Lepisosteus oculatus: one gene and its partner. The protein of the gene in region 1 interacts with the protein of each later gene in a biochemical or structural test. Links are inferred from orthologs where the notes say so. Each region holds a gene or a part of one and is shown on either strand. Other genes may lie near its edges.

What was found. The genes of interacting proteins can lie anywhere in the genome.
Region 2: the proteins of parp9 (region 1) and E3 ubiquitin-protein ligase DTX3L-like form a complex in vitro, tested with the Homo sapiens proteins (3 studies listed by BioGRID). The link is inferred for Lepisosteus oculatus from reciprocal best matches to the Homo sapiens genes PARP9 and DTX3L.

Annotation. Positions count from the first base shown.
Region 1 is NC_090707.1:6,605,194-6,612,605, forward strand, and holds the start of parp9 (protein mono-ADP-ribosyltransferase PARP9), read right to left. Parts: upstream 3,007-7,412; 5' UTR 2,472-3,006; intron 2,413-2,471; exon of another isoform or gene 2,270-2,412; intron 2,219-2,269; exon of another isoform or gene 2,026-2,218; coding exon of another isoform or gene 1,975-2,025; exon of another isoform or gene 1,794-1,974; intron 1,430-1,793; 5' UTR 1,416-1,429; coding exon 534-1,415; intron 1-533. Other genes in the region: parp14rs1 (poly(ADP-ribose) polymerase family member 14-related sequence 1), read left to right, coding at 1,975-2,025, 3,348-3,630, 4,733-4,842, 5,115-5,142, 5,794-6,051, 6,532-6,753, 6,889-7,412.
Region 2 is NC_090696.1:14,713,076-14,720,801, forward strand, and holds the start of E3 ubiquitin-protein ligase DTX3L-like, read left to right. Parts: upstream 1-4,721; 5' UTR 4,722-4,946; intron 4,947-7,704; 5' UTR 7,705-7,726. Other genes in the region: extended synaptotagmin-1, read left to right, coding at 1-13, 156-287, 380-485, 1,263-1,312, 1,438-1,465.

The DNA.
Region 1 (7,412 bases):
GTAGGCAGAAGCAAGAGAAACAGACACAAGGAAGAGAGAGACACAGACAGTAAAGGAAGAGACAGAGAGAGATACAAGAAGGCACCATGTTTGAATCAACTCTTACGACCAGATTCTAGTTAAATATTTGAACCCTGTTTGAGAGAGCTTGCTTCTGTGTTTTAGGAAACACAGTCCCTTTATGATGATTTCCCACGGTAAACTTTTCACTCCTAGTTAGTGGATGCAGTGCGAGATGGGGCCCCATTCACTTTGGATTGTATCCTGTTTTATTTAGGATGAAGGTTTCTCTCTCTTTTTAGCATGTTAGGTGTTTTATAGGATTTGGAATACTGGTTAGCAGTCTCAGGGTTTTTTTGGTTGGTCAGGATACAGGCCATTGGTTATCACAGTTTGCCTGTGATTCTTTATTCTTTTGCTAAATCTGTGCCAAAGAATAAACAGCTCAAGTGCCCCCAACTAATGTGCTGCATTTGATTTTTGATCAACAATCTGAGTGACATGTATCTTCTCGAGACGATCAGAAATCCTACCTTTTCGTTTTCGATGCTCCCTTTTTTGATGTGCAGAGTGACCCTCCCGAGCTGCAGTGAGCCCGTGGCCTGTGGATTCGCGGGGCTCCTGACAGCCTGACTGTAGGACCTGTCTGGCCTCAGGAATTGTCTGCAGGCCCCCTCCATGGCACGAACCGAGGGCTCGTCATTATTGACCAGGCGGACATCTACATCCCCTAGGTGTATCTCGTCCTCAAGATACTCTTTCAGAGTTTTCACAAGGACTTCTGCACACAGTGGTAGAGGGAAGTTAAATATGCCAGAGCTCAGGGCAGGGATGGCCACAGACTTCAGTTTTTCTCTCTTTACTATATCTAAAATGCTACAAATAGCTTTTTTTAAAAGAGGTGCAGCTCTGTCAAGTTCTGTTTGACTGGGGTAAGGACTGCAGCGTGGACCTACTGCATGGATGATTGCCTTACAGGGCAGCTGTCCTGCCTGTGTGATTACAGCGTCTCCCGTCCTTACTTTCCCATTAAGCTGGATTAAATAATTGCTCGCATGTTGTATTTCTGGGCCGCCAGCGATAGAGAGAGCAAGGGCGAGGCCGCCACAGTGATCCAAGTCCTCGTTGGCGGCGTTGACCACCGCCTCCACCCGGTGAGCGGTCAGGTCGTCCTTCCAGACGGAGAGCATCGACCCCCTCCCCAGCCTCGCCGAAAACCTCTTTTCGGGAACGAGGGCCGGCCTGGAGGAGCTCGGGGAAGACCAAACTTGGTCCGCGGGGTTGAGCGCAGCGTTGCAGCCGAACTTACTGAGGACAACCGCGCCCAGGTCGGCACTGCCGATCAACATCCGCGCGATCTCCCGGGCGATCGGGACCTCCGAAGAGTCCGCTCGGCTCTGGAGTCCTGAGCTCATCCTGCACCGGAAAGCTGCGAGAGGAGAAAGCGGCACACGTTATTCCAGAAATCTCTGGGGCTCCTCTACAGCCCGAATCGAGCACAAAGGGAGAATCTACCTTCAGAAACAAGGGGCTTGTTTCCCATTGCTGATATGTGTTTACTCCTTCCTGCATGCTGAATGGTTCTGCTTCATGAAAAAACACTGAGACATTGGTACATCACATCTGTATTTAGGATGTTGGGGAAATGTGACATTTAGTAATCCATTACAGATTGTCACTTGTGTAAGGGATTACTTTTGTATACTGGAAAGTCATTAGGGGAAAAAGGTTTGAAATACATTACAGTAATCTATGAAGTGTGTGCATAAATAATATGAAAAAATATTACCTACCTCTCAACGTTCCCCAATTTCTTATTAATTTTAAAAAGTATGTTTTACACAAGTAGCATGAATTACTTTTCAAAAGTGACTCTGACACCGTTCGCGCTGTCAACACAATTAAAACTGAAAAACGGGCGTACACACACTGAAGACAAAACTTTCATTTTCTCAGAAGACTTGTGCAGGTATAATGCGCCATAAAACGAAAATCAGGAAGAACCGGGGAGAGATACAAGTAAAGGTAACGAAAGACGCGAAAGGATAACTTTGACGTTCATGCTCCGAGACAGTTCTTTCCGCGTCACCATTGCTGTTTGAGCACAGGACTGAAGGACCTGCTCTCGGAATCTAGACTAGGGCTCGTAGCGACGTCGCAATACGTAATGCAAGTTTGTCGCCTATCGCTCGCTCACCCTTTGCGCTCTCTTTATTGTCGTGTTATCATTTTTTTTTTGTTGTTCGAGTATGAACGAGAACCTACTAACCATTGAAAACTAAAAATTAGTGAATTCCCCCGCTGGTGCGAAAATAAAATCTGCGTTGCACATGAAAAGGACTTGCTATTTTCTGCTTGTTGTTTTTCCAACTTTCTTTGCAGACCCCGATTAAAAAAACTAAATTTCACCAAATGAAACGGAACACAAATCCCGATGGTCGCATAGAAAAGATGATACAGTCATGATTTACCAGCAAAAGAAGAGAGCCACAGGAATGAAGTCTTTCTTTTTCGGCGTTAAGTTTCCTTTTGACCTCCTAGCAGAATCCAGGCAGAAAAAAACAGCCCGTCGCCCGGAATCGAAAGTGAAAGTCGAGCTGTAGCTGTAGCAAAACAGCTCTGGCCGACCGTCCCGCAGAAGTCGCACTTTTCCTCGTAGATGTGGAGAGAGACTGGGTGCGGTACCTGGCTTTTTTTTTCGTAGCATTAAGTCACATATTAGCGAATTAAAATCAGTTGTTATGTTCTTCGGGGGTTTTATTATGTGGCGTTAATATGCGATTATGAGATTAAAGCGTTACCAAGTCCTGGTTGTATACGATCGCTGTATCATCGTAAATGTGATACAGAATAGAGAATATAGTGCGTTTAGAGTCCTCTGGAAGTGTGAGGGCTACGCGTCGGCGTTTTGCAACTTTCTTCAAAGCCTTTTCATGCACATGATCTTTCCGAAGTCTGAACTCCACTAAGAGCAGTGTCCCGTTTAGAATAGCGGACTTTATCGCTGAGGTAAATTGCGGTCGGTGTCGCCTGAGATTGTCCCTCTATAACAAATGGAGAATTCTCGCAACTGAAATTTAAAATCTGTGTTTTAAAAATATATATTTTTTTATCAAAGAGGAGTATTTTAGGGAACAGCAATGTATGTATTGCTGAAATGAGACAGAAAAATGATTATTTGCATATGTTGTTGTCCTGAATATTAACGAAACAAAAACGAGGGATTGTATAATGATTTCGCGGAGCTGTATTCTTTGTATGATCCTGTCGTCAGGATTTTATGACCATACAAGCTTGATAAAACATTCAGCATTAACCGTATTACAACTTCCTGCTGGTCTTTACAGCGGCAGGAGGACGAGGGGATTTCCGAGAAAACAGAACCGAAACGAAAGCGCCGCTCCGAGACAAGTACAGCTCCGAGGGGCTCGACCGGGCTGAGCCGAGAGATGGCCGAGCGCTACCTGTACCCTGTCTGGGTGGAAGGCGATTGGACTGGCATTCCCAATCTGAAAAACAAGCTCCAGATTTACTTTCAGAGTAAGAAGAAGTCCAGTGGAGGGGACTGCCAGGTGGATTGTGGAGACGTCGGGGAACGAAAGGCTGTCGTGTGGTTCAGAACTGAGGAAAGTAAGTACCGTCCACACATACAGTACATTTCTTTGGCGTAAATCACCTTTCTTAAATCTGTAAAGACCTACATTCTCAGGTGTTAGTGCGTCTTTCCGAGATGTCTGCATGTTGCTCAAAATGGTCAAATCGACCTATTAACTGCGTGTGGCCGATAAAGCTGTAGGAACAGCAAATAAAGTTCATGCAGAGGTAAGGATTTACCTTGTGATACACCAGACATGGGAGGGTTTTGCAAGTCACATTTCGATGCACGTTCGTGCTATTGTAAATTAAATATGTATAAATAAACGATATTCAAAATGAAAGTAATTTGCTTATTACAAATCTGTGATCAAATGTCATAATATAATACAGCAAAATATAACCTTAAGTAACAGTTATTACTTATTTTAAATATTGAGTATAAGAAATTATATAAATTATATCAGAGAGCTGGGTTTCATTCCACCTGTGCTCTTTATGACTTAACAGAAACAGATATTGTTTTTATTGGTCTTAACTAGTTCATTTTACATAACCTGCAGAGCTGCAGCTCTCAGGGATTAGGGATGAACTCCCAGACCAGCATGACTGAACACAGGAGTTACCAAACCTGGAGAGGACCTGCAACACAGTTGCAGCTAATGAATATCTAATACACTTGTTGATTTTACTCCACTCCTTCCCTGAATCGCAACTAACCCAGACTGCATCACCAAAAGCTACAAAACTCAGACTCTTTGCTTGAGGCTTGTAAGTCAGCTCCAGACCTCTTTCTTGGGGTATGTCTGAAGATTCATCTCCAAAAAGCTGGTGTCTTTATCTCAGTCTGAGAGTCACATGTCCATAATCACAGCCTCAATAAGGAAGAATGAATGGAGTGTGGGGGAGTCCTGCTGGTGCAAGGCCATCCTGTGGTTAATTAGAACATACAGTAGTTCTGGAAGCAATACAAGAGCCCACAAATGGTGTTAGAAGTTAGAGTGTGTCAAAAACAAATGAGAGCACTAAAACCAATGTGCCATACTGTCCACTAACCTTGAGCCTTTGGAGAGAGTGGGCAGTGAAACCAGCAAGTCAGTAATTACTGGTTGTGAACAGCATTCTCTCCAATTTTCAGCCAGGCAGCGCATTCTTGAGAAGGGGAACCATGCGCTGAAGTTAGACAAAAGTGTGGTGAAGCTGACTGTCAGAAAACAGGAACAACCAGCTGAGAAAAGCCCAGAGCCAGTAAGTGATGTAGATTTGCAGGTGGTGGGGTGCTTATCGCGCATCACCCTCATTTTTCTGTGTTCTAAAGAGACCTGAGTATAATATTCTACAGACGTATGAAAGGTTTACATTTACAAAAAAAAATCAAGACTTAAGCTAAATCATAAAGTACACAATGTGTCAACTACTCTGACATAAAATGGCACAAGCCTGAGAGAGAAAAAAGCACAATTAGCTGTTCAGTTTTATAATCTAGGAATAAAATGCAGATATGTTGTTTCTTATTTCAGATAAAAGAATCTTCTGGCACACATAAATGTAAGTATAAAGCATTTTAATGAAATGGACAACTGTAAAAGCATGATTGCGTTCAAACCCTGTTCTTTTAAAAAAAACGTGGAAACTGTCAGTGAGTGGGTATTGCTGTTGCTTCCTGGCTCCAAGGCCCTTGGTTTGACTGTGGCTCAGTCCGTGTGGAGGATGTGGCATGTAATCGTCTTGTTTGTGTGGGATTTGTCCCACAGTCCAAGGACATGCTGTTCAGAAATCAATTATTTGGCATCTCTGAATTGCTTTCTGCATGTGTGTGTGCCCTGGCGTCCTGTCCAGGGTGTGGTCATGCCTTGTGCCATGTGCTGGATGACACTCCCTTTGACACTTTTCAGTTTCCCAAGGGCAAGAATAAGAGCTCCTGAAAATGAATGGTTGGTTTTCAAAATTATATTTTGCAGTTTTATATTGACTATTGTTTAACATGTGAATAGGCATCCGGCTCTGATACCTCCTGCCTTGCATGGGAAGAATAAGAATGTGTGAACACACTCCTCTGGTCCATCTCTCTTCATAGTCTTCATTAGAACATGAGATTGCAAAAGCTCTGAATAATTCTAAATTAAGATCTAGAATTATAATACCATAAGTGAACGCCATTGCATTTTTAGCCTCTTGATTGCAATACCTCTCTTGCAGCGTCTTCATCTTCTACTCTCAAAGATGCTCCAGAAGAATCCAGTGTTTCTTCCAAAGTTCAGGAAAAAAACACAGATCCAGATGAAGACATTCCAGAGACAGCCTCTTTGGTGCTGGAAAATGTTCAGGAGAAAATTAGCAAGGATTTTCTGGAGATGCTGGTGGAAAACATCGCAGATTGCTCTGCAGAGTCTGATTTCAGTTTAGAGATCATATATGATATAAATGCAGCAGTTGTGTCATTTAAAAACAGCAAAGGTAAGATTATGTGGAGGCGTGAAATGAAACATGCGTTACATATTGATAGAAAGTTAATTTTTTTCTGTTAAATCAGTTAAATCTGAGATTACACCTCTGTGAGCAGCTGGTATTTAGCTTCTTGCCTTTCAGTATATCACAAATCTCACTGGCATGAACAAAAATCATATTAAAAGATTTGGAGATCTTCCCTGTTTAAAATTCAGTGCATGTTATCTATAAGGCGTTTCTGTATTGCCTTCTGTGTGTGTAGGGGTGTGTGGATATGTGAGTGTGCACCCTAAGTTGGACTGTTCCATTTTCAGTGCAGTTGTCAACTTGCACTCTGTGTTTGCTGGGTCAGGCTCTGCCCCACCCCAACCCTCTGAGGATAAACTGGTACTGAAAATGGATGAAAAATTGATGAATGTTGAGTGACGAGAGACTGTGATTCCAATATACAATGAGTCAGTCATGGAGAAGAATCGCTTGTATTTGCAGATGTTCAGACCTTTCTTGCCAAGTGTGCCAAAAACAAGATGTTCAGACAGTGGAATTTAGTTGCCCGACCCCTTGAAGTCACCACAAGTGTGAAAGTGGAAAACATTCCTTCAGTTACCAAAGACTTTATGGAGCTGTACTTCGAACGAGAGGGAGAGGTGAAAGAGGTTCTGATGATGGATGGGGAGCAGTCAGCTATTGTAACCTTTTTGGACCACAGAGGTAATGCTTCTTAAAAACATGATGCATTATTAAATTATTTTTCATGTTCCTCCACCTGTTTCAGTAATTCAATATTTAATTGAAACCAGAAACCAACCCTTTCATCATAATTGTATATGTCTGTTTTTGTTCCAGTTGCTGAAAACGTAATAAGAAAAAGACATCAGATCAGTAAAGTGCCCATCAGTGTGTACCTGTATTATGAGTCCCTGGGCACGGCTTTATATGGCAAAGACAGACCAGTGTGGAAGCTGCCAGACCCCTTTACTGAAAGCATTGACCAGGCCCTGTGGAAGTTTCTTCATACAGGTCAGAAGCAGGTGACAGTCATCAGCAGTCAGATGGAGAAGCACTTCTGTGAGGTGGACTTGAGAAACTCCACTGTCAGGATCAGCCCATTACCAGCCTTGCTGAAGCAAAAAGGTTTGACAGCCAAGCACATTGATGCTTGGAAAGAGAATGCTTCCGCTGCCTTCCGCAATACCATGTCCAAGTACAGTTCCTTTGAATATCCTGTGAATCCCTCAGTGTGGAGTGAATCTGAGAAGGAAATCCGCAGAGCAGTGACACAGGCAGCAATCTTGGAGCCTGACATGACTAAAGAGTCTGTAGCTGTAGCAGGCTTGTCCGAAGATGCTAACAGACTAAAAGAGATGCTG
Region 2 (7,726 bases), on another chromosome or scaffold:
TTCACGCCTGCAGGTCTGTCTCCTTGCACTGATGCTGGGTCCATCTGCGAGCGTCTGTGTGTGTGTCTCTGTGCTGAACTGTCCATGTCCACACTGTCCAGGCTGTGTCTGTGCCCCTGGGTCTATATTCATGCTGTTCCCCTGTGTCTGTCCAGGCAGTTGGCAGCCTGTGCCAAGGACGGCTCAGACCCCTACATCTCCTTCAGCCTTCTGCCGGACAAGAACAAATCCACCAAGAGGAAGACCAGTGTGAAGAAGAGAGACCTCAACCCAGAGTACAACGAGAGGTCAGGGCGGGAGGCGGAGTTCTGTCCTCGTGTGCGTGATGTGCAGCTCTCAGGGTGTGGTTCTGACCCTCTCCCTCTCTCTCTCTCTGCAGGTTCGATTTTGAACTCTCCCTAGCGGAGTCTCAGAAGAGGAAGCTGGAGCTCTTTGTCAAGAACAGTGTTTCCTTCATGAGCCGAGAGAGGGAGCTTATTGGCAAGGTCTGAATGCCCTCCTGTCTGTCACCCCATCTGTCTGCCTACCTGTTTGCCCGGCTGTCACCTGTCTGCCTGTCTATCACCTGTCACCTGTCTGACCAGCTGTCACCTGTCTGCCTGTCTATCACCTGTCATCTGTCTGACCAGCTGTCACCTGTCTGCCTGTCTATCACCTGTCTGCCTGTCTGACCAGCTGTCACCTGTCTGCCTGTCTATCACCTGTCTGCCTGTCTATCACCTGTCACCTGTCTGACCAGCTGTCACCTGTCTGCCTGTCTATCACCTGTCTGCCTGTCTATCACCTGTCACCTGTCTGAACAGCTGTCACCTGTCTGCCTGTCTATCACCTGTCTGCCTGTCTGACCAGCTGTCACCTGTCTGCCTGTCTATCACCTGTCTGCCTGTCTATCACCTGTCACCTGTCTGCCCGGCTGTCACCTGTCTGCCTGTCTATCACCTGTCACCTGTCTGCCCAGCTGTCACCTGTCTGCCTGTCTATCACCTGTCACCTGTCTGCCCGGCTGTCACCTGTCTGCCTGTCTATCACCTGTCACCTGTCTGCCCAGCTGTCACCTGTCTGCCTGTCTATCACCTGTCACCTGTCTGTCCAGCTGTCACCTGTCTGCCTGTCTATCACCTGACACCTACCCGACCAGCTGTCACCCTGGCTATTACTGTACTGTGGTCTGTCTGTAGAACGCCTCTCCGTCTGTAACCCCTGGCGTGTGTCAGTCTGTGAGTGGGCGCAGTGATGCCAGCCCCTGTTCCCTTCCCTTCCAGGTCCAGATCGACCTGGCGCAGGTGGACCTGAGCGCAGGGGTCACGCAGTGGTGAGTAGGGCTCAGGGACAAGCTCCATCACGAGGCTGAATACAGCCCCTCACATTCCTGTCCAACAGGAAACTGTTGGCTTGAGCTGCTGTCTTCCTCCCACTGACTGTGTCTCTCTCCGACAGGTACGACCTGAAACAAGAGACTCACTAGATAACCAACAGCAACTGTGATTCAGCCTTGCCCAGCGATGCCTTTCCACCCCCCCACCCTCTCTCTCCTTCTCTCCTCCCCTTCTCTCCTTCTCTTCCGTGCCAAGAATGTTTTTAAAATGAATGATTAACAGTTGAATTGTACTGCTGTAGTGTGAGTACTGGTGAGGGGCAGACGAGAGAGGGAGACATCCCCAGCCCCTAGGAGACACAAACATGCCCTTCGGCCCTGCAGCCCAGCTCAGGTCCGACCCAGGGTCAGGAGCAGGCCCTCGAAGTCACGACTGCAGGGATTCGTCTCGCGAGACTTCTGCTAGCCCCCTTGAGCTGCTAGCCCCTTGAGACTCCTGCGGGAGGCAAGGGAAAGTATTGTCTCCACGGCTCTGTTCACCTTTCGCCATGCTTTTGCATTGCTCGGTGCCTGCCCACGATTCCGGCTTATGCCCTTTCTCACTGTGTCACGATATATATATCACGACAGCGCAGCCCCGTCACGGAAGACTGGAGTCCGGAAGTTTCTGTTCTGTTGGTTTTATCACAGGCTGTGTCTGCAGTCGGAGCTCCCCTTGCCCCTTTGCTGCTTTGGTTCGGCCCTGCGCCATGCTTGGTGGCCAGTGCCAAGGTGCCCCCTGGGCACGCCCCCAACGTCGCTCAGCCCCTCCCCTACCTATGGGCGTGTCCAGGGAGCAGGTTGCAGTCTCCCTGGATTAGGGACCAGCCAATCAGCCGCAGGGAGGGAGGGGCTTTTCTCCATGGCGATGGGGATCCTGGCTGTGACGCTCGAAGGGACTGGGACTGTTCTGGAGGCAAGGGTCTCCAGCAGTCTTTGCCCTGGAGAACAGGTGCATCAGCACAGGCACCTGTACAACTGGGAGAAGCTGCTCAATTCATCCAATTAAATCAGAGACAGTGACAAGGGAGGGGAGGAGCAGGGGAAGCGGAGTCCAGGGTTCGACTGGAGAGACAGCCTTCATTTTGCCTTACCAGAATATGCCTTTTTATTTTTTGAAAAGCCAAAGATGTTTCTTGAAATGTTATGCTGTAATATCTATTTTTTAATATTAGTACTGTTGCTTTTATTGTTTTGAGAGTGATTTGAACTGGTTCATTCCATTTTTTACTGCCCAGTTTTAACCCGTGTAGCTGTGTCCTCTGGGCTCTGTGTGAGAACTATGCCTTATTGTCGGGCGTTCTTTTGCTATGACACCAGGTCCCAGGTCTCCCGTATGGTTCCCACATTCCCACACATTCCCATACAGCCCCTCACAGCCCCTCACAACCCCTCACAGCTCCTCACAACCCCTCACAGCCCCTCAAAGCTCCTCAAAGCCCCTCATACAGCCCCCCACACCCCTCACAGCCACTCTCAGACCCTCATACAGCCCCTCACAGCTCCACACAACCCCTAACAGCCCCATGCACCCCTCACAGCCTCTCACAGTCCCACACAGCCCCACACAGCCCCACACAGCCCCACACAGTCCCACACAACCCCACACAGTCCCTCACAGCCCCACACAGCCTCTCACAGTCCCACACAGCCTCTCACAGCCCCACACAGCCCTACACAGTCCCTCACAGTCCCTCACAGTCCCACACAGCCCTTCACAGCCCTTCACAGCCCCTCACAGCCCCACACACAGCCCCACACAGACATCACGCCTTGCAGCATAATGAGGAGCTGTAGGTGTTCTGTCCCGATGATGTTGTAGCACTAATAAGAACAGTGCACTTGGCACATCCCTTGTGATCGCATTTCCTCTAGATCTGGCCTGATGTGTTCAGCTCAGAGGTCATGTGTATCTTGTTTCACCCACAATCTTGGATCTGCAAATGGGGTTGTTCTTAAGACACAAAGGGTTGAGATTTAGGACCTGGTGCAATCGTGCATAAATAAACTCCTGGTTAAATTATTGTCACTATTGAAGTGTACGTTCGTTTGGACTCTGTGTTGATGAAGAAACGGGAGGTATCTATACCTCTGCAGTGACAGTGCTGTGAAGTAGAGCCCGCCAGGTGTAGCTGATGTTTTAAAATAAAAAAATGTATGTATTTCTGCTTTTGTCCCTCCAACAATATCAGCCTTGAAGAAGGAGTGGATTAACGGCAGAGCAGAAAACAGAATGGGGACAGTGAGGCTGTGTGTGTATCAGACTAGTGTTACTGAATGAGACCAGGCTGCCCAGTGTAATTCAGTCTGTGGATGGGGCATCTGCCTTTGTGGAAGAGGGATTTCTGACAGACTGACTGTACAATCACAGTATTCAAATGCCACACAAAAGACCACCGGTGTCACTGTACCGCTTTCAATAAAACTATTTGCACTGCAACACACACTCTATCTGGGGTGGTCTCTGTCTGAGTTTCTGCTGTGCACTGTGCATGTTCACACACTGGGTAAGCAGAGAGATGTCCCTGGCTATTTAGAGATATATAGGAACAGAAACCTGGTTATAAATAGACAAGGTGCTTAAATGAGTGATCAATGCCAGTTATTTAAGGTTGGGAGTGGATATCAATTTGCTCTGTCTGTTTCATGGCCACAAGCTGCAAAACTATCTAAACTGTTCTGTTTGGGTATAAAACCGAAGCTGGCGGCGACAGACAGCTGTCTTTCTGTTACCGACGTTGCACGCTGACCAACAGGTGGACAAGAGGAGCTCCTCTATAAGCAACAAAGATGTTCCTGGTTTAGACACTCCTTCCTCTCTGCACTCTGAAACACACCCGACTAGTATGCATTCCTGTGACGGGTAAAGACTGCTTGCTTTTCCAAAGAGCACTGACAGTTCTGGCTCTGTAGTCCTGGCAGCTATTCTGTTCCTGTAGCTTGCTCCTGTGCTCTGCGCTCTGCGCTCTGTCACTGCAGCAGTTCCTTGTATCTTAACGTTTTTCAGCCTGTATTGATCAGCTGCAGGAACTGTCTGCTGCCCAGGAATGTAACAGCTCCCCCTGCGGCTGCATTAGCGAGGAAACTGGATGCGACAGCAGAAATTACGTCCTATTATTATTTAAGTATTGTAGACACCTAAGCTCCTCGGTACCAATATAGTTAAATATTGACGTGCGGTAAAAGCAACGCAACAGTCAAAAAATATTTTCAAGTGAACTTCTACTTAAACAAACCCCAACATGGTGTATTTGAGTTTTAATCGAAAGTTACGTTTCCCCTGAAGCGAAAGTTCGGTTCGCGCAGATAAGACAGCAGGACAGCGCCCCCTTTTGTCCGTTGTTGGAAGCTGCGGGACTCCTTCGCTGTTTCTCTTTCATTTTAGCCGAACCGAAAGTGAATGCCAGTCTGGGCGTAGAGCAGTCGGACTTCCACCGCCGAGTCAGAAAACGGTTCAAAAACAAATCTGTTTGATCTCTTATTGTGGACACCTAGTCTTAATTTGACTTTAGAAAGACACGCTGTGCTTTGCTCCGGCAGCAGAGAAGCAGTGTAGGATCTGATAGCTGGGCAGTGTCGAGGTCTTCATAAGGTAACAATTCACTTTATACTTCCTGTTTACATTCCACCAGTTCAGTGTTGTAGCGACGTTTTATATTTAATAATTTTATTTACTTTAGTATTCATTCAGTTTAGTTTGTCTTGTCTTTAGTTTGTCGAAATGTAAACACACAGGTGTTGTCGAAATTGTAATTGACGGAAGTGCCGAGTTCAAGGTGTGAAAGAGAAAGTGACTGGAGTTGATATAATCTTGTAAAATAGAGCATATACATTCTATAATTATTTTGCTTTGCTACACTAAGCTACAGTTTTCATATGTAGACGATTGTGGAGCTATAATGTGGCCGTAGTATAGACGAGTGTGGAGCTATAGTGTGTCCGTAGTGTAGACGAGTGTGGAGCTATAGTGTGTCCGTAGTGTAGACGAGTGTGGAGCTATAGTGTGACAGTAGTGTAGACGAATGTGGAGCTATAGTGTGGCAGTAGTGTAGACGAGTGTGGAGCTGTAGTGTGACAGTAGTGTAGATTAGTGTGGAGCTGTAGTGTGACAGTAGTGTAGACGACTTTGGAGCTATAGTGTGACAGAAGTGTACATGAGTGTGGAGCTATAGTGTGGCACAGTAGTGTAGATGAGCGTGGAGCTATGGTGTGACCATAGTGTAGACGAGTGTGGAACTATAGTGTGACAGTAGTGTAGACGAGTGTTTAGCTATAGTGTGGCAGTAGTGTAGACGAGTGTGGAGCTGTAGTGTGGCAGTAGTGTAGACTAGTGTGGAGCTATAGTGTGGCAGTAGTGTAGACGAGTGTGGAGCTATAGTGTGACAGTAGTGTAGACTAGTGTGGAGATATAGTGTGGCACTAGTGTACAAGACTGTGGAGTTATAGTGTGGCAGTAGTGTAGGTGCATGTGGAGCTATAGTGTGACAGTAGTGTAGACAAGTGTGGAGCTGTAGTGTGGCAGTAGTGTAGACTAGTGTGGAGCTATAGTGTGGCAGTAGTGTAGACGAGTGTGGAGCTATAGTGTGACAGTAGTGTAGACTAGTGTGGAGATATAGTGTGGCAGTAGTGTACAAGAGTGTGGAGTTATAGTGTGGCAGTAGTGTAGGTGCATGTGGAGCTATAGTGTGTCCGTAGTGTAGACGAGTGTTGAGCTATAGTGTGGCAGTAGTGTAGACGAGTGTGGAGCTATAGTGTGACCGTAGTGTAGACGAATGTGGAGCTGTCGTGTGGCAGTAGTGTAGATTAGTGTGGAGCTGTAGTGTGACAGTAGTGTAGACGACTTTGGAGCTATAGTGTGACAGAAGTGTACATGAGTGTGGAGCTATAGTGTGGCACAGTAGTGTAGATGAGCGTGGAGCTATGGTGTGACCATAGTGTAGACGAGTGTGGAACTATAGTGTGACAGTAGTGTAGACGAGTGTTTAGCTATAGTGTGGCAGTAGTGTAGACGAGTGTGGAGCTGTAGTGTGGCAGTAGTGTAGACTAGTGTGGAGCTATAGTGTGGCAGTAGTGTAGACGAGTGTGGAGCTATAGTGTGACAGTAGTGTAGACTAGTGTGGAGATATAGTGTGGCAGTAGTGTACAAGAGTGTGGAGTTATAGTGTGGCAGTAGTGTAGGTGCATGTGAAGCTATAGTGTGTCCGTAGTGTAGACGAGTGTTGAGCTATAGTGTGGCAGTAGTGTAGACGAGTGTGGAGCTATAGTGTGACCGTAGTGTAGACGAATGTGGAGCTGTCGTGTGGCAGTAGTGTAGATTAGTGTGGAGCTGTAGTGTGACAGTAGTGTAGACGACTTTGGAGCTATAGTGTGACAGAAGTGTACATGAGTGTGGAGCTATAGTGTGGCACAGTAGTGTAGATGAGCGTGGAGCTATGGTGTGACCATAGTGTAGACGAGTGTGGAACTATAGTGTGACAGTAGTGTAGACGAGTGTTTAGCTATAGTGTGGCAGTAGTGTAGACGAGTGTGGAGCTGTAGTGTGGCAGTAGTGTAGACTAGTGTGGAGCTATAGTGTGGCAGTAGTGTAGACGAGTGTGGAGCTATAGTGTGACAGTAGTGTAGACTAGTGTGGAGATATAGTGTGGCAGTAGTGTACAAGAGTGTGGAGTTATAGTGTGGCAGTAGTGTAGGTGCATGTGGAGCTGTAGTGTGGCAGTAGTGTAGACTAGTGTGGAGCTATAGTGTGGCAGTAGTGTAGACGAGTGTGGAGTTATAGTGTGGCAGTAGTGTAGATGAATGTGGAGCTATGGTGTGACCATAGTGTAGACGAGTGTGGAACTATAGTGTGACTGTGGTGTAGACTAGTGTGGAGCTGTAGTGTGGCAGTAGTGTAGACGAGTGTGGAGCTATAGTGTGGCAGTAGTGTAGACGAGTGTGGAGCTATAGTGTGGCACTAACAGGGGATGGATTTCTGGACTCTGGACCAGAGAGTTGTGGGTTTGAATCCCAGCTGGGATGTTGCAGTTGTTTGTTTGAGCGGGGTGATTCAGTCAAGCTGCACGCTGTCTTTTGGACTCTGGAACTGTTGTTTTACATGGTGGACTGGATTTTCAGTGCAGAGGTCCAGTAGCTTCTGCGAGACACAGAAGAGGCTGTTTGTGCGGCCCTGTGACAGATTCAGACTGGACAGAGTGTTTTTAGAGGGGTGAGTTACCACATCCTGAGACTGCTGGAGTTGAGTACCGCGCTTTCTTAACTAGGAGGAAAGAGGCATGATTAAGACAGAGACTTGGGGGAGGAAAAAAACCTCGAATCACAGGGCGTAATGTATTGTTTTTGTAAAAATTTAGGAAGCCACTTCCTGAGTGACAC